Linked DNA regions of Daphnia pulex. The protein of the gene in region 2 purifies or fractionates together with the protein of the main gene of each other region. This does not show direct contact. Links are inferred from orthologs where the notes say so. Each region holds a gene or a part of one and is shown on either strand. Other genes may lie near its edges. The genes, in order: protein FRA10AC1-like and splicing factor ESS-2 homolog.

What was found.
Region 1: the proteins of splicing factor ESS-2 homolog (region 2) and protein FRA10AC1-like purify together in Homo sapiens (co-immunoprecipitation; 3 studies listed by BioGRID and IntAct, counting the BioPlex papers as one, with this or other methods). This does not show direct contact. The link is inferred for Daphnia pulex from reciprocal best matches to the Homo sapiens genes ESS2 and FRA10AC1.

Annotation. Positions count from the first base shown.
Region 1 is NC_060023.1:12,000,886-12,010,328, reverse strand, and holds protein FRA10AC1-like, read left to right. Parts: upstream 1-5,046; 5' UTR 5,047-5,161; coding exon 5,162-5,200; intron 5,201-5,306; coding exon 5,307-5,412; intron 5,413-5,486; coding exon 5,487-5,649; intron 5,650-5,716; coding exon 5,717-5,882; intron 5,883-5,944; coding exon 5,945-6,104; intron 6,105-6,160; coding exon 6,161-6,489; 3' UTR 6,490-6,519; downstream 6,520-9,443. Other genes in the region: uncharacterized protein LOC124196619, read left to right, coding at 1-350, 415-690, 759-931, 1,003-1,428, 1,488-1,663, 1,725-1,855, 1,917-2,080; radical S-adenosyl methionine domain-containing protein 2-like, read left to right, coding at 3,020-3,275, 3,343-3,761, 3,829-3,978, 4,046-4,078, 4,145-4,318; chromobox protein homolog 1-like, read left to right, coding at 8,175-8,275, 8,346-8,592, 8,704-8,819, 8,912-9,026. UniProt on the Homo sapiens protein: May be involved in pre-mRNA splicing.
Region 2 is NC_060025.1:1,559,631-1,569,719, reverse strand, and holds splicing factor ESS-2 homolog, read left to right. Parts: upstream 1-4,423; coding exon 4,424-4,924; intron 4,925-4,985; coding exon 4,986-5,145; intron 5,146-5,216; coding exon 5,217-5,736; intron 5,737-5,808; coding exon 5,809-6,085; 3' UTR 6,086-6,265; downstream 6,266-10,089. Other genes in the region: adhesive plaque matrix protein-like, read right to left, coding at 6,511-7,329, 7,395-7,550, 7,624-7,629; MFS-type transporter SLC18B1-like, read left to right, coding at 8,893-8,995, 9,066-9,526, 9,592-9,687, 9,744-9,817, 9,880-10,027. UniProt on the Homo sapiens protein: May be involved in pre-mRNA splicing.

The DNA.
Region 1 (9,443 bases), on a different chromosome or scaffold from region 2:
TCACGGACTAACGCAGTGGGATGTCTTGGAACCGTCGTTCATCAAGAAGATCGCATTTTACATCAACAGTCAGGCGAGCGCACAGGATCCGCGGACTCTTCAGGCGGCCCTGTCCATTCTGGAGAGCATTGCACATAATTCGAGTACCAAGTACGCGATAGTCGAAAAGGAGTTGACCATTCCCAATCTGGCGATGCATCTGCAAAACGCATCGGCAGCCATTCAGCAAAACACTTTGGCGTTGATCAACGCTCTTTTCCTCAAAGCCGATGATTCCAAGCGAACAGCCATGAGCAAAACCATCAACTCTCGCCAGATTCGTAATACGATCGTCATGAGCATCATTCAAGGTATTTTCGTTGATTAAACACCTTTTGTTCCGCTGGTGAGACGACTTTCTGTGTTATTTTCTAGTGCCTGGAGTAGCGAGCGGTAATGAGGTTGCCCACCAACTGCACGTACTCCAAACGCTGCTGTTGAACGTGCTGGAAGAGCCAATGAACCGGCCAATTGAATCGGGAGACGTCGAGGCTCTCGAGAAGATCAGAGAACTGCGGCGAATTGCATTTGACAACGACGGCAGCGACTCTGTCACTCCCGTCAAAGACGTGGTCACTCGCAAACAGGTCATTCCGCGAGATTTCCGCAAATTAGGATTCAGGAACGACGCAACTCCACTCAACGATTTCGGTAAGAATATTCGAGAGAAAAAAAATCCGTGGGCGCGGATCCTTGATTACTAAACTTGTCTCGTACAGCTCAGGTTCCACCGGGTGCATTAGCTCTCGATGCAATGCACTACTTTGCTCTCTACCATCCGGAAAAATACTCGAGAGTGGTGCTGGAGAATTCGGGACGAGGCGACGACTATGATTGTCCATTTGCCCGAGCCGCCATCGAACTAACCAAATTATTGTGCGAAATTCTCAAGGTAATTGAAATCTACCATCTTCATGGTTACACCAAGTATCATTTTAAATATATTTCTGAAATTTCCAACAGATTGGGGAAGCACCGACTGAGCAAGGGACGTCGTTTCACCCCATGTTCTTTAATCACGACCACCCGTTTGAGGAGCTCTTTTGCATTTGCCTGGTGGTGGTGAACAAGACGTGGAAGGAAATGCGAGCAACAGTTGAAGATTTCGCCAAAGTATTCTCGGTTGTTCGCGAGCAAATCACGCGCGTTCTAGCCGGACGCCCTCCGTCACAGGAAATATTCAAGGAGCGGATAGCTGCACTCACCTACGCTGAAATCACGGATTTGTGGCAACAGGAGCGTACAAGTCGTGAGAAATGGGAGTCCAGGTCACGGCCCATTATGGAATTGCGCCAACAAATCGAGCCGGAAATTCTCGAACTCATTCAGCAACAGAGACTAGGATTCCTCACAGAGGGCACTCGCTTCAGCAAGTACACCAATCGAGGGGTAATCAAAAAGTGTTCTATTACAAAATTCATCAATAAAATATAATTAATCATTGACAGAGGGTCAAGGACAAGTTTTGGTACGTTCGCCTGTCGCCTAATCACCGAGTCTTGCATTACGGCGATTGCGATGAAAAGAGCGTTCCGGCACTAGACGAATTGAAGGAGAAATTGTCCATTGTCGACATCCGCACTCTGGTCACCGGAAAAGATTGCCCACACATGAAAGATCTAAAGTGAGTTTCCTGACCAACAATTAAAGAATAAATAACATTGACAATGAAATTCTTTTCTTAGGGGTAAGAAGACAACGTCGCAATTTCCATTTTCGTTGATGCTCGATTCTCATGATGTGGGATCGCTGGATTTCGTGGCACCCGATCAGCAAACGTTCGACTACTGGGTAGATGGAATCAATGCACTTCTAGGTCCGTATTTCAAAGATAAAATACAATTCAATCACAATTTTTACAAATTCAAACTTTACAGGCAATAAAATGACGAGCAAAGAGGCCATGGCCGATTTGGAATTTCTACTGTCGATGAACACAAAACTCAGGTTGCTCGACGTGGAAGGATTGGACTTGCCCGAAGAGCCGCCAGCCATACCCCGCGAACCCACCAATTACGATTTCGCCGTGGAGATCAAGTAGAAGATCTGATTCGCATGTGGCAGGAGTGTGGACACAACAATTTACCTAGTCGTTCCTAATGAAGAAAGAACAAAAATCCCAGGCTGTCTTCCCAATTCCAGTACCTTTCGCCTTTTATTAAATCGATGTGGTGGAGATCTCGATTGCTTTTTAAATAATTAGCATTTACCTCAGAATGAAATCAGTCGTTGAGGCAAAAAGAAATCACAAAAGGTATGAGCTGTCTCAATGAGTTATCATCATAATATTTTGACTGGTGAATTTACAGGATGCAAAATACAACATACGAGTGTTTTAATTTTTACCGCCAATCACGTTTGTTACTATACTTTTCTTAACTAATCCAATTTAGTCAATTTTAGAGCTTTTGCAGAGAAATAATCGTTGAGAGTGTTATGGTAAAAACCGAGCTACTGAGTCACCAACACAATATTTGAACAATATGGGTATTTTTCTTCATCGCTATTTCATTTTATCTCAACGTATTATCGTCTACTTTTATATCGTTGTAAACGGATCGTTTAAAGTGCCGCGCTGGCCAGTTTACTTGTTTGCCAACTGACTCATTCGCCTTTAATAATCTTTCCGTGTAACTATTTTTTCTAATCAATCTTCAAGTTACATAGCGGCGGCATGGATCACAATTCGTGGAAAACTTGAAAAGGCAATAAAACGTGCCTTTGTGTTCAACGATCCCGTTTCCAGCCCGTGAAAAATCAACTTATCAAAATGACGCTGAGCTGCCACGTGCACTTTTTGGTTTGGGAACGATGATACGCAGACAAGAAGCCACGCCCCTACAAGTTGTATACAAATGCGGACTACAAGTACTTGAGGACGTCGGAAAAGACCTCACACACGGTTATGTGACTCTTGGCAAGTGCTGACATTCAAATTAATCGGTCCGATTAGTAAGCAACACTCGGCGTAATTAGGAACATGACGTTTTTGGAGATCTGGATCCGCCAATTTTGGCAATCCGTTGTTAAATGGATCTTTCGCATCTATTACCAGCGAGTCGATGACAAATCGAAACGAATTTCGTCCTATTTGTCACCTCGGCCGACCAGCGTCAATTACCATTTTACCCGCCAATGCAACTACAAGTGTGGATTCTGTTTTCACACGGCCAAATCGAGTTTCGTTTTACCTCTGGAAGAAGCCATGCGGGGACTCCGGCTCCTCCATGAAGCAGGTAAGAATTGAGCTGGTCATATTTCAATCATTGATTTCTCCATTGTTGAATTCGTACGTTTACGCAGGAATGGAAAAGATCAACTTCTCGGGTGGAGAGCCGTTTATTCATCAGAAAGGTCGCTATTTGGGCCAGCTTGTTCAATTCTGCAAGCGGGAACTGGGACTGGCCAGCGTCAGTATCGTCAGCAATGGCAGTCTCATCACCGAAGACTGGTTCATTCGATTCGGTGAATATCTCGACATTTTGGCCGTTTCTTGCGACAGTTTTAAGGTCGAGACCAATCATTTGATTGGCCGTCACCGGAATGGCAACAAAATTCAAACCGGTGACGAAGGAAGTGAACACCTGGAAAGTTTGGAACGGGTGAGAGGATGGTGTCGGGATTATCGAGTCGCCTTCAAAATCAATTCCGTCATTAATGTACACAATGTCGACGAGGACATGAACAGTCAGATCCATCAACTGAATCCCGTCCGTTGGAAAGTAAGAAAATCATTTTTTTTTTAAATAAGCATGTCGTGAAATGATTATAAAGAATAATTATTTACAGGTGTTCCAATGTTTGCTCATCGGCGGAGAAAATCAAGGTGAGGAGGCTTTACGTAACGCGGAGAAATTAGTTATTTCAGATCAACAGTTTGAGACTTTTCTACAGCGTCATTCGGGCGTGGCTTGTTTGGTTCCCGAATCCAATATCAAAGTACGTAAATAACTTTTTAAAATTCTTGATTATTTTACATTTTAATTCAATGTGCTGTTATTTTTAGATGCGCAATTCTTATTTGATTTTGGACGAGAGGGTAATCTGTTATTAAAAGATGTAATTTTTGATTAAATCAACATAATTTGTTCATTTTAATTTTCAGATGAGATTCCTTGATTGTACAAACGGGCAAAAGACTCCATCGCCGTCCCTGCTGGACGTCGGTGTGGAAGCGGCCATCCACTGGAGTGGTTTTGACGAAGAAATGTTCTTCCAGCGTGGAGGCAAATATACTTGGAGTAAGTCCGATATGTCTCCATCTCTGTTAGAGTGGTGAAATCGATGATATCGTAAACGTCTGACACTTGACAAATTTCCACTCAGCCAAAGATTTTTCTTTTAAAAAAGAATGTGTACCTCTTTCTTTTCTAAGAAATACAAAATGACTGCAATCGTACAATCTTTTGAGTTTAACAGTGCGGAATGAATAGGGTTGCCTAAAAAGTCAACGAGAGTATATCCATTAAGGTACCATAATTCCTGAAATCAAATTATCATACCTAGTTATTTTGTTTTCCAAACGATGTCCCATTTAGAAAAAATTTTTACCTTTTTTTTAGGGGTAAATAAGGTAATTGGACTGTGTATCAAGCGAGATTGCATATGGAACATTTCAATCACTTATCAAATTACGTATGGCCGATGGAAAGATGAGTGCCGTGACGTGTCGTTTACTTTTGAAAAGAGACTAATTCTTTGTATTCTGTTGTAGTCTTTTTTTCTAGGATTTATTTCTTTAAATTATATACAATCATAACATTTTGTCGCATTTTGTATTCGTGAAATTGGCACGGCAACCGGTCCGTGCGAGGAAGAGTCCTTATGAATTTGGGTAGTTTTTCACCATTATTTTGATACGAATGAATTGGTTATTATCGTGTCTTTGGGCTACTGACCGAGATTCTCTTATATTGCCGTTTGCATTATTCAAAACAATTTTGCCGCGTGTAACGTTTTGCATTCTAATTGAATGTGAATGGTAGAACGGAACATAGATGGCGTTGTCGACGGAAGTAAATAAATAAAAACAAACCGGGATTGTTTTGACGGTTGTGAGAACTTCGTACTTTCAGATCTAACTTCTAATCCTATCAACTCTAACTATAATTTTGAATACAGCATGTCATCTCGTAACTCGCGGCGAGGTTCTCCACTTGAGGTTGGTCGTTAAGATCTCATTTATCAGATCTCATTTCCCCTAGTCAAAAGTCTAGTGGAACTGAACAATTTTGAATAACTCTTTATCTGATTTGAAATCATCCTAGTTAGATGCTGGAGGATATGATTCCAGTTATGAAGGAGATGAAGAGGAAAACAAAAGGAAAAAAAGAAAGAAGGATTGGGTTGTGAAAGAAAAACCAAAAAGTGAAGGTAATGTGTAGTTTTTTAATGCAGTACTGACTGTCTCACAAACTTTTACTCTGAATACATTTTTTAAATAACAGGTTTAGTTTCCAAATCTGCTTTCACTGAGCAATATGCACAAGAAGCCAGACGAAGTATGCAATCACAATTGAGGGGGTTAACAGCTTACGACAGGCACAAGCTTCTCATCAACGAATACTACCTCTCCATACCTGGAGGAGCTGATATGCTGAAACGTGACAAGTATGTGAAATATTCTTCTTCTTACCCAAACAATTTAATTACAGTAATTTTTTACTCTTTACTTTAGGACAAGAGATAAAAGAGATTTTGACATCATCAAAGAGAATCATCAATTTTTGTGGGAAGAAGACGACACGATCGACACCTGGGGAAAACAGATAGCCAAAAAGTACCACGACAAGCTTTTCAAAGAATACTGTATTTGTGACCTCAGAAGATACAAGGAAAACAAGGTATACTGAAATGAAAATCTCGAATTATTCAAAATATGTATTTTTATTATTTCATCCGCTAGGTTGGCATTCGATGGAGAGTTGAAAAGGAGGTCGTCACGGGTAAAGGGCAATTCAGTTGCGGGGAACAGAATTGCCCACAAAAGGATAACTTGAGGACTTGGGAGATTAATTTTGCCTACGTGGAACATGGAGTGAGAAAGAATTCGCTAGTAAAAATTCGTAAGTTACACAAGTTTCATATTTCTTTCGATTTAATTTGCAACTTTAATTTAAAGGTTTGTGTAACGATTGTTCACATAATCTTAATTTCCATCACAAGAGGAAAGAAGTTACAAAGAAGAAGAAGATCAAGAAGGAAACGAAGAGTAAGCGATCATCGAAGGATCGAAGAAAGAGTGAAGGCGGTGAGCCAAGCACCGAGGAACCGGCTCCGGGAACCAGTAAAGATGGCGTGACTGAAGCTGACGAGCCATCTTCTGCTAATCCTGGTAAAACTCAAGAACTCAGCGACAGTACAGATATTTGGCGCGAGGGCCAACAGACAACCGAAGACAAATCACGCGACGACGAGTTTGAAGAGTTTTTAGAAGATTTGTTTCTTTGAAACACAATATACTTGACGATCTCGAACAAACTTGAATGATTTTATTAATCGATAATTTTCAGTTGAAAGGGTTACATACGTCCAGCATACGTCGGGCCGTGAAAGTACGTGATGTATCCTTTAAACACTTCCTATATTTTCAAATAATTAATATTTCAATGGTTTTTCAATGAACATTATTTGTAAATTTAAAATTTTTGATAATATGATTGAATCCTTAATCCACCTAAATATCAATTATGTTTATGGCCTGTGCAAAGGTCATGAAACTGGTTTGCGTATGATGTCGAGCAGATGACACATTATATAAAGCCGTCGGTGAGTCATCATAGATACTTATCCATTGTCTGGCGAATAAATGGCTAATCCGAAAGATATCACAGAGACCGAAAACACTGAAGACTCCGAAATCCTAGAGGTCTCCGAGGAGGACGAAAGTGATGTAGAAACAGAATCGGAGAATCCTGAAGTGGAAGATGATCAGCAGGAATCGCACTGCAGCACATATGGCTGTCGCTATTTTCTCCTTACAGTAGCGATATTTTACTTCGGCATTATTGGTATGGCTTGGTTTTTCATGTACTTGGGCAGATTTTCCATTCTACGAGGATTTCAATATGTTACGAACACATTCAACTCGACTTTCTCTTTTGAAAATTTGACAACAGCTGGACGTGATCCGCCTGCCTAAACTGTCGGCATCGAAAGACAACGGGAAGAAGGATATATTAACACCGATTTCTGCCCTCCCCTGTTGGTATTAAACGATTCATTCAATTGTTACGTCAACGTAGCTAATAAAACACAAATTTACAGTTCTTATTTTCGTTTATTTTATTTATTAAATGGCTCTATCCCCCCCCCCCACTCCCTCCATCGTTTTTTGAAACTCGAGACAGAGCCCAGAGGATTCGGTTGTAAAATGTTACAAACTGCTGAGTGCTGACTTAAACAGCAAAACAAGTTAGCATATTTCACTGTTGATTTCTAGTTCTTCAAATTACTATATTGTGCGTCGCTTGGTGTTTCAGTGTTTCCACAACATTCTATAAAAACAATTGATGATCGTCGAAGGTCACGAACCATTGATCACGTGATTTAGTCGACCAATCACCCTGTAATCTCTTCAAACGTTCTTGCATCTTTTGAAAAATTTCAGTTAAAAAAAACGATTATGTAAATTAAGAATAGATTGTTTTACTTGTCTCCTTCCTAACATTTTTTCTTTATTACTATTATTTTTTGTTTAAGCGTTTAAGTTACAATTTAAAAATTTACCACCAGCCCACCAGGGTTGGACTTGAAGTACATTACAGTCGACATCGTCAGTTCGTCTGTGGCAGCCAACGTGTTAGAACGTCTCTGTACGTCTCTGTTTCTTAAACCACGCTTCCGTAATCTTCATTCACGGTGATTTTGTAGGTAATTGATGATTTTGAGTGGGTGTTTTCTTAATTTTAAGTACAGTATTAACCTGCTATAAACAAACAAACTCAAATTTATTTACAAAATGAAATGAGAAACAGCTTAAATCAATTATCTATGAGTCATCAGCGCCATGTGCTCCATTGCAACTGTTCATATTGCATCGTTTCATAATGTAACTGAATTTTTTTTTATTTTTATTTGGAAGATTGTTTTAGGAAAAGAGTTGACAAGAGAGACTTAAAATATTCATTTCCACCATGGGCCGAGTTAATAAAAAGAAATTGTCTGAAGATTCTGAACCTGAGGAAGTCAGTGTAGTGGAGCCAGAATACGAAGTTGAAAAAGTTGTGGATAGAAGGTAAGCTAGCTTACTTGCAGATTGCTTTTCTTGATAAGAAAATAACCATCTTATTTTATAATTATTCTAGAGAAATTCAAGGGAAGGTGGAGTACCTCTTAAAATGGAAAGGTTATGAAGATGAAGAGAACACCTGGGAGCCTGTCGATGCATTAGATTGCCATGAATTAATTGCTGAATTTGAAAAAAAGAGAAAAGAAAAATTGGACCAACCCAAAAAGAAAACAGAAGGTACCATCAAGGAAAATAAACGTTCAACATCCATCAAAGACAAACCAGCAAAAGTGAAGGCAGCTGGAAAGAAAAAAGACCAAGAGGTTAGATTTTTAGTGTTCAATCTTTAATTCATTTAAGGGGAAATTCTTGTTTGATGTAAAGAACTTAAGATTTAAACTATTTTTATTTCCCCATATTTGACTATGTAACAGGACCAACCCCAACCACCACGTGGAGTCGAACTCGGCCTTGAGGCTGAGGCGATTTTAGGCTTAACCGATACTTATGATGACGACGAGCCTGGTGAACTTCATTTCCTCATCAGATGGTTAGCTCTTCTCGTTTCTCCTTTTAATAATTTTCTATCCCAGCTTATCAAATGTTTCATTGAATTTACTAACATGGTTTCAAATCTTATAGGAAAGATCAAGATGTGCCTGAATTTGTTCCTGCTGAAAAAGCATATGTTTTATTTCCTCAAATGGTCATCAAATTCTACGAAAGCAAACTTATTTGGGGTGAAAAAAAAAATTAAAAGTAAGACGAATGCTTACAGAAATAATTCCCCTTTTATTTTAATCTTCAAAAATGCACGATCGTGCAATGCCATGTTTAAGAAGAATGAGCTGGTTGATAGATCCTGATCTTACTGCCCACTTCAGAAACACAGATCCTTTTTCTTCCTTCTCTATTGTTTAGCCCTCCACATCTTTCTCTTATCAACCATATCTTAGTATTATCTAGCAAGTGATGAAACAGCTTTTATGTTCATTATACTCATTTGTCTTTGAAGCTAGAGTAAATCGATGTTTTTTAGCGCTAGGTTCACAGAACCAGAAATAAAACGGATGTCTTATAACTTGTTTTTGAATTGTCAACACCTTTCATATTCTTAAACTCACATTTTATTAGAACTGAAGACAAATTAGAAGTCACCATGCTATCAGCACAT
Region 2 (10,089 bases):
CAAAATACCTTTTTACGATTCTCGTCGAATAGGGAGACGAGGCTCTCCCTGGCCGATTGGAAAGGATTGGAGGCCATTAAACTGCGCATGTAAAGGTAAACAGCATCCAGCTTGCGTCTCTGTTACGAATCGATAATTGAAAGAATTGTTGTTTTGGTTTTTTTAAAGCTGCCAGTGTATACAATGTACATACCGCGTAGAGTGCCAAAATGGCCAGTTGATTGTACGGTCGGCCGTTTTTCGGGTTAGTCAAATTAGCTTTAGTGTACCAACTGTCAGAATGAGAAAAAACACGCAATTACGGCGTTAGAAGTTGTATACAAAAGATATTTCAAAAGAAAACCTTTTGGCTTTGCCGTAGTTGGAAGTTTCGGACGTCATTTCACGATAACGGGCTAAATCGCCGAGGAAGATGAGGATCTTTTGACACGAGATGATGGCCAGGCCAACGTAGCCCAGTCCCGAGAGCAAAGGGTAAGGCTGCGGCTCGAGGTACGTTTCCAGGTTGAATTTGTGCGACTCTTGCAGCGTCTCCAACAGCATCTCGAAATAGGCGGTTCCCTGGACAAATGAAAATGCGTGTTTAAACAAGCGAAATGATGTAATGATCCAAACAATTATACCTCGTCAATGACGTTGAACAGGAGCGACCTGTATTCCTCTTTGGCTTCGGGTTCTTCGGCCGTGGCCTTGCGCAATGCTTCAATGACATTGTGGAATGCCACCTTCCACATGTGCTGCTCAACGTTCTCCATAGCGCAGAAGCGCAAATCATTGGCCAACATGATCCGCAAGCTGTTCTGGAAGAATTTCCTGTTGCAATGACGGAACCAATCAAATCAAAAAAACAAAAGAAAATGTTAAAAATACCTGGACCGAATTTAATGAGGCCAACAATTGTGAAATGTCGTCATCCGTAAAAAAAAATTTTACAAACCTGTTCATCTGGATGCGGCCGAACCGCTGGTGGAGACCTTGACCGTGAAGCAACCACGACAACTCCATGTCGCAACGGGCCATGTCCATAAGGAGGTGCGGATGACTTTTGCTGCTCCGGAAACTGGAGGAGACAACAACGAAATTACCAAGTGACGTCAATGAAATGAGCAAATAGAAAATACTCGGAAGAATAAGAAACGAGTTAATTTATTCCTTGTAATTACTTTTCAGACTGTGGGTCGTACCACGCTGGCCTTGCAGAAGAATTGACGTTGCTTTGATCAGCCGGAAGAGTCAGGAAAGTCATTTCCGGGCAACCTAGCGACGATGCGGCCGTCGATTGTTGGCTATTCGGTCCGTCATCGGCTCTGGTGGCCACCACAATCGGCTTGTGCGGATTGGCAGGATCAAACAGGGTGCGCTGCTGCACTGGGCCAGTTTTGCGAGGATAGGAACGATTGGCCACGTCACCACCACCACGGTTATGATCCTGCTGACGAGGAATGGACGATCTGTCGTACGAGGAGGCCGAAGGAGCCGTGAAATCACTTCGCCTGGGCGAAGAGGAAAGGCGCGATTGTTCCATCGACGGTGGAGGACCTATTGGCAGCTGGATCAACCCTGGAACGGACATTCGCGGTGGTCCGCTCTTACCCGCTTCCTGCCTACGACCCTGGCCCAGGAGAGGTCGCCCAGTCATCGGTGGAGGGGTAGGTCCAGTCTGTCGGTCGACATCCACTCCGTTGGTGGAAGAAGCTGCCGATGGGAGGACGATGTATCCTTGAATGGGTTTATTCTTGTAACGAATATCCGTACAGGCAAAGACGATCTCCGGAACTTTTTCCGGAAGTCTGGCCGGTGGAGCTTGTCGGTATCCAGCTAGGCTTCTCTTGTCTTCTTCTTCCATTTCTTCGCTCCAATCCAGCGACGTCTGAGTGGCCGTCACTTCCTCCAGTCGTCGAAGAGTGCCACGCAGGTGGGACTGCAAGCCGGAACTGCTGTCGACGTTGGACAAAGGCGTCGAGCTCCTAGAGTCCGTCACCGATGTTTTGCGTTCCCGATCGGAGAACGACATGGAATCTTGACTGCGAGGTCGTACAGGAACATGAACAGGATCGGAATCTTCCGCCTGATCAGACAATGGCATTGTTTTGGCAGCGAATCCTGTGGCTTGCTGATACCGCCCTTGGCCTCGGATCGCTTTGCCACCTCCACCAGACCCTGGTCGATGATGTTGTTGGGGTGGATGGTGCGGCCGGATGCTGGGGACATGAGGCAATGATTGCGGGAAAGGATGAGGCAACGATGGTCGAACTGCCGGGGCTCCGGAAATGTTGACAAAAGTACAAGAACCGCCATCCCATTCGGTTTCGACTGGACTCGGATGGACGGCCGTTTGAGGAACCCGGTCAGGTTGCGATTGATGCAGGCGATCCTCTTCGTATTTCTTCTTGAAACGAGGTGGAAGCGAATCGTATTTGTTGGGCAGCGAAGGGCGTTCGTTCTTAGAGTATCCACCACGGCCGGATGGGGGTCTTCCGTCGGACCGGTAAGAGTCCTGAGATCTCTCATCAAAGAGTCCTTCCCTTCTCTGGTCTCGCCCAGAATTCTTCTGCGCTTGGCCTTGGAATTTAGGGTTGCCGGGCGGTTCTGAACTCTGACGATAACCAGGTGACGGTGATGGCGATGGCGAGGTGATCGATGGCGGGCGACGTGAAGTGCTCGTTGGAGACACTGCGTTGGCAACGGGATTCTCCTCTGCAATCATCCCGTTCCTGCTGTTGCTGCTTTGAGGGCTGGATGTGTGGCGGCTTCGACTGGAACCAGTGGCCTGGTAGTATCCACCACTTCCTCCAGCTCTCTTCGTAAGTTTATCTTCGTCCACCAGAAGAACGAACCGAGTTGGCGTAGTCGACTGGTAATAGTTGTAATCGTCTGGTCTGGAAGTGCTACTTGTGCCTCTGACATCACGATCGGGAACCGGGGTTCCAGCTTCACTAGAAAAAGATCCTCGTCGACTGCCTCCAGGACCGCGATTGTTTCGTTTCTTCCTACCACTGCCACTGCGTCCACTTCCTTCAATACAAACAATTCCGTTAGAAAATAATAACCGTTTAAATCGTCAATTTTAACTTACCGTCTCGTTTGTCTTTACTATTGTTCTTGCTTCTCTCTGAATCGTTCCAACTACCACTTGTAGCCGTCTTCTCTTCAAAAGTTTTGGATGAGGGCGGTTTCGTAGCTGCTGCTGAAGAATTGTTGTTAGTTAAAGAAGCAAGGTGTCCATCGGAAAACGAATTCTCCACTCGAGGTTTGCGATCGTTTCGGCGTCTGCCTGAACTTCTTTTATCACTCTGCCTTGAGAGCAGGGACGAATCAATGGATGCAGATTTTGAAACGTTATTCGGTGGGAAAGGGTCGCTAGGCTGGCTTGCCCTCGCTTCTTCTTTTGGCTTGACTGGCTGTCTTTCTTGACGGTTGTCATTCTTCTGTTTGCCATTTGAAGGCTGATTTGGAGTTGGACTGCTTTCGTGGTGACCAGTTGCTGGGGATTCATTGCTTCTCTGCTGCTGTTTCTCTAGAAGAAGCTGTCGAAGGTCTTGATTTGATCCTGCATCCACATTGTCTTGGTAGTACAGCTGCCTCTTCCCTTGATTACTCGGGACAGGGGGTTCCTTGAATTCTTCTTTCTTTTTTTTGGTGTGCTGTTGGTGGTGATTTTCTGTTCGTGGCTTATCAGAATTTCTATCTTGTCTCTGGTTGTTGGTCCTTCTCGTTTTGGATTCTTGAGTGTGAACCTCACCACCCCGATCTTTAGATTTGTTGCTCTCATCGTTTAAATTGACATTCCTAAAATTTGATTCAAGACCAGTGTCAATGTCTGCTCTTCCAGTGCCTTGCAGGCTGCTGCCTGGCTGTATGTTTTCAACATTGCTGCTTGACTTTTTCAGAGGTCCTGATCCAGGACGGTAAACAGCAACTTCAGGCCTTGGTCTTCGCGACGAACGCGAATGGTCAATATCAGCATTCATTGATGAAAGTCAAGACATTAAAACAATTGTGCCTTGTAAAACCTATTTCGTTTCAAAAACAAAAAGAGACGCATTAGAAAGCTACACACAAGTTTGGAGCAGCGCCATTTCCATAAGGCCTAGAGCCACAAATTAAGATTGTCAAAAGAAAAGCTTTAGTAATTTGTGATCCTCGATGGCAATTCGTTTTAACGGACAATTGACACAAGATAAAGCATTACATTAAGTATCAAAATTTAAGATTGGAAAGAGAGTGAATCACGTACCAATCGTCTCAAACACAAAGGGACTTGTCTAGGCAACGTGAAGTTGAATTGGTTCACCACAAATATGTGGCATTTGCCTTTTGTCTGCTGTCTTTCGCTCGCGACGTTTCACAATCAATTTTTCTCTCTGGGGGAAAGTTGACTTGTTTTCTTATTACAGTGTAGTTTCTACTGTAATTATTAAAAATGGCTGAGCTTAAAAAAGGAGAAAATTTAGCATTGCAACAAGTTAAGAAAGAAGTGACGCTTTTTAAAGTCCCTTCGGCAGCTCAAGCCCCGAGAAAAAAGAAGAAAGTCCTTGATGAAGACAGCTTCGTTCACAAACTGGAATCTATTATTCAACGCGATTTTTTCCCTGATTTGACCAAGTTGCAAGTGCAGGCCGCCTATTTAGAAGCTATGGAAACAAATGATATAGTCAAGCTAAGGGAAATTTATGAAAAATACAGTGTTGGTCCTGGTGTTCACGATTCACGTAGAGGACACGCCACCCCATCAACATTTGAAACACCTACAAGGGATTTTCAAGATTATATGTCTGTTCACAGTGCCTCTAGCACCACATCCAAAAGAACGGCAATAGATGATCAAGAAAGTCTCGATGAATTTCTATTCAAAAATACAAGTGAAGACAATGAAAGCTTTGAGGAAATGATGGATGAAGCCAAGCGGAAGCACAGACTAAAGGTATGATTTCTAAAAACAAAATTTAAAAAAATTTATTCCTAATGTTATTATTTGATTTCAGTATTCCTGGTTATATGATGTTGAAGACAACAGCACGTCAAAGCAAGATTCGACTTTGGCCCTTCCATCTATTGAAAAGCAGGCAATTGAGGATTCAAAGCCAGCATTGATTGAAACCTGGAAATACAGAGTCAAAAACTCCATTATGTATGTTCCTGAAGGTAAAGTACATAAATGAATTGCTTCTTGATAAAAAAAACTTATCTGAACATGCAATCTTCTTCTTCAATAGGAGCCCCATATACTCTGGAAGAAAGAGTGAAATATGCCCTTGACAAAGATCATATTCAGTACGCCAATACGCATTACCAGTCGAACCCTTTCGACGAATCCCGAAACAGAGAAGCGTTGCATAAAGCAGCTCAATTACAGACCAATACGAGACAGGGTCATGTGGACGTTGATGGCAAGGAAATAAAGTCCAACGCGCCACCCACAGTTAACGGGTTCGACTTCATGAAAACACCTTCGCCAGTACCGGGTGTTGGTGAATCACCCCTAATGACTTGGGGAGAAATTGAGGGAACCCCGTTTCGCTTAGATGGTTCAGACACTCCTCTTCCGTCTTCCTCAGTTGGAGTTGGCGCCTTCCAGCTGCAGCCCGTGTCCGAGCGGGACAGAATTGGCCACAAATTGGCGGAAAAAGTCGGCCAAGGTTACCGAGATCGCCGTGGAAGAAATCGATCCTCCGCTACTCCAATGGCTTCACCCCGTTCTAGTAGCGGAACACCTAAAACCGCCGGAACTTTGAGGTAAATGAAACTTATCGCCTTACGCTTTTAATTGCCCCTTACACATAATTTTTTTTCTTATCCATTAACTAGCCAAAGAATTGCGCTCATGTCCCCTGCTGCTCGACGGTTGGCGACTTCAAAACTTGGCATCCGCCTCAGCACCGATCCAGCTTTGCAAGCATCGTATACTCCGCGCCGTCGATCGGGAGATGAGACACCAACACCAATTCATGGACGGACACCTTCCACTCCATCTTATGGAACGCCACGATCCTCACCGCTTGTTCGAGCTCGAGGTTCTGGCGCCGCTAATCTGACCGACAATCTTCTCCAGTTACCCAAACGCAAGGCTCAAGATTTCTTTTAAAATCATTCACTTAAATTAGCATTGAATATTTGATAGCCCCTTTACACCTGGTTGAAGTGTTGAGGGGCAGACTGTTGATAGACCTGAATGAAATGGCTGATAAGCTTGAAGCGAATACAAATGAGGTTGGCGAAAAGACTATTTGTCTTTTCGTTGATTTCCTCTTAATAATTGAAAGAATCACATCCATTGATTATTCGATTATTAACTGACCATCCGTCTGTGTTGCCAATCTTTGCCATGTTTGACCAATTTTAATATTCATTCAATTTTTTTATTTTACTAGGTACAGAAGTTACTACATTAAATAAGTAATTCAGAAAATGATGTTAATCATTGTAAGCTCAAATTAAAAGATCTTGGGGACGACAAGCTTCATTAACTTGTAGACGGTCGACAATTCGTGGAGATTGTAGGGGGTTGGATTATTTTCTGGGCATTTCTTGGGAACTTAATAGTTGCCCGTTAGAGTAAGTGGTAGGATGAATGTCATGGTACTTTGCAGTTTTGAGAGTTCCATGGTTATAGCTACCCTTGGGGTACTGGGTGTAGGGTACTGGGTGGTTGCTGTGGCTTTTAACGTAAGGAGTTTGGTAATTCTCGCTGGCTTTAGGGTAAGAAGTAGAATAATGGTGGGGGTACTTGGGGTGTGGATTGGGATTATACTTGATGGAAGATGCACCATGTTCTTTGACGTAAGGAGCTTGATGATGGTATTGGCCTTTATTGTAGGGAGTTGCGGAATGCGTGTTGTCCTTGGCGTAGGGAGTGTGATGTGTCTCATGGCCTGTATTGTACGGAGTTGAATAAATATCGGGGTACTTGGCGTGGGGAATGTTGGCTTTGACGTAATGAGTTTGGTGATGATACATCTGATGGTCCTTTGTGGGGGTAGTAGAATAAGTGTCGTGGTACTTTTCCGTCGTAGTTGAAGGATAATGATTCACGGGATAGTTGTGTTGGGGATTTTCGTCATTTTTTCCATCCTTCTTGGCGTAAATAGTAGGATAAGATCCAACGCTATAGGGAGTCTCATCGTTTTTGGCCTCTCCTTCGTACTGGATGTCAGCGACGTAACCATTCTCGTCGGCATGGTAGGTAACTTTTTGCTTACGACCATCCGGAAGCATGACGTGATAGCTTCCAGAGACAGCTCCTTTGCCGTTACTAGTTTCTTGCTTGCCGTAGTCAACGCTGGAATGCGCATCTTTTACATTGAAATTGTAGTTGTATGTTCCATGTTCCTGGTTAATGTAATTCGTTAAGATAACGTCTATAACCAAATTAATAATTTAGAAATTATGCTTACGTCGTAGGGTTCAGAGTGATGGTGACCACCTTGATGTTCATTTTCTGGTTTCTTATAAACAGGAGTGTTATGATAAGGATCGGTATCATACCAAACTTGATTAGCTGCTGCAGAATCAGCCAGGCAAGTAAATGCCAAAGCAAGAAGAACAAAAACCTGCAAAATATTTAAATCGCCAATTAACTATTATGTTTTTATTTTTAACTAGAAGTTATTTAAGTGTTATTACCTTCATTTTGGAACAATAATTGAAGCTGAATCAACCAAGGAGAAGGACTGATGCTTTCTTGGAACTTGGACCTCCTTTATATACTGAAACTGTCATGACATTATAGAAAGTCCACTTCAATCATTCAAAATCGGTTGACGAAATAAAGAGAATGCGGTGTTGCAATTAATTGCTGTGATGCTATTTTTAAAATGTACATTTTGCTCTTCTTATTATTAGCGTAGCCAAAATAAATTGATGTCCTAGAACTTTCTCGTTTTATTTCTTCGGTGTTGAGAGATGACCTCGATTGATAAAAACTTGTCTTCCATTATTAGATTTTTTTTTAAACTGACACCTGACACCAGCAAGTCTTTTGTAATGATTGTTAATTGGAATTTTATCATTCCAATTATTTAGCTTCTATATTTGCTAATCGCACCTGCCTCAGAAGGATTTGAATTATTAAAATAATTTACATTTTTCTTGGTGAAATGGCAATGGCACACATTTTGGGGACTTTTGAAATTTGGAGGGAAAAATCGAAATTAAGAATTAAGTATCGATATTAACTATCGATATACTAAGGCAAGGCCAAACTATTGGCGGGAATATGACGTCACTTTGGCGAAAGGAAGGGGGAAAGAAAGTTCACTGCTCCCAACCTTTACCTTTTTGTTATTTAGTGCTACATTTACTTCTTTACAGTTTGAACCAAGGTTTAAACAAGTCGTGCAGGTTTTTCAGTATTTTACTGATAATATTTAATTTATCTTCATCTGATTTATTTCCCCGACAACGCTTCGAAATTTTCAAACTTGTTTTCCGGTGCCTTAATTATTTTCTAAACTCTTTTCATTCAGTTCGAACCTAGCACGGATCAACCTTTGGCAGGGGCGGTTAAATTGATATTAAAAAATCGGCATAATTTGCTTACTTGAGAAAGAAAACGCCAGCAGGCGGCCATGAAATTGGAGGGTGGGTCAATCTCTCAATCAGGTCATTGGGGGCGTAAGTAGTCGAGCAGGCGATATCGTTCCTGTCACAGCATCTACATTGTTGTACCGAGGGAAACTCGCGTTCCATTACTGAGCCTATTTAAGAGGAAATTGGAATTCATTGTATTCTCAAGAAAAAGATAAACCAACAAGTATATCAACGACTGATCTGAACTGTGCAGCAAAAGACAGGACGAGTGTGTGGATCGAAGAGCCTCCACGTGGTCGGTCAGTGTCTCGCTTGTCTATCGCGTAAATTCCCATTTTTCATCTTAGAGTAGATTTTGTTGGAATGCCACAGTCTACGATCTCTCCCATCCGAATGACTGATGCCCATTCAGCTACTTCAGTTGGATCAGCTAGCAGCCTTTTAGTTTCTTCAGAAAGTGAATCGGGTAATTACAATTTGTATTTCTTGTCACATGTCATTAAGTCTTACGCCATTACCTATTTCATTTATAATAGCTAAGGAAAAGTTAGATAGCACAAGCAGTTTAAAGAATGGGTATGTTGGATCATTCACAACCCTGGCGCAGCCTTGTCTGCCTTATCCACCCTACCCAGAAACTGAGCAAAAGAATAGGGCAGTTTCGATGGCTGAAACATCACCAGTGCTTCGGCATGTCCAGGAGCAGAAAACGGCAGAAAAGACTGAATCTACCCTTATAACTCCCAAAGGTGAGGAGTTAAGCATCAAAGATGATGCTTTGAAGAAAGATAGATGCTTGTCGACAGCATCTTCAGAAAGTAGTGGTGGAGGTTGTGGAGGGCTTAAGAAGAAAACATATAGACGTTTTGGAGAAGTAGATAAAGAAGAAAAGAAGAAAATGACACCCAGACAATGGCTCCTCCTGACTGTTCTTTCTTTGGCTACCCTCACATCATCTTTTGCTATTTGCCTTTTCCCCCCATTCTTTCCCAAAATTGTAAGTATTCCTGCCACATGTTCTTGAATAAGTGAAGAAGTTTTACTAATTATTTTATTTCCCAGGCTGAAGAAAAAGGTGCTACAGTATCTATATATGGCTTTATCATTGGTACCAACTGCCTGACATCTTTTCTTATCACTCCTTTTATTGGAAAAAATGTAACAGATAATCAGCTTCGTTTAAAAACATCATTGTAATTAATTTCTTTTAATAGCTCAAAGTTATCGGCGTGCGATTCGCTTTTGTTTCTGGTGTTTTCATCGGAGGTGTCTGCTGCTTGTTGTCAGGGTAAATAATTTTTTGGGCAAGAAACAAAGATAATTTTATTTTTTCTGTTTAATGTTTCACAGATTTTTAGAGTACTTTCCTGAAGGAATGTCATTCATCGTAATATCTATATTAATTCGTGTTATCCACGCGGCTGGAAATGCGGGCACGATTACATCAACATTTACCTACACTGCAGTGGAATTCCCCAATTCTGTTGCCAAAATCTTTGTAAGATTTGAAGTTCAAGTCATTTCTTTCTTAAAACCTAATTTTAATTTTATTGATTTGCA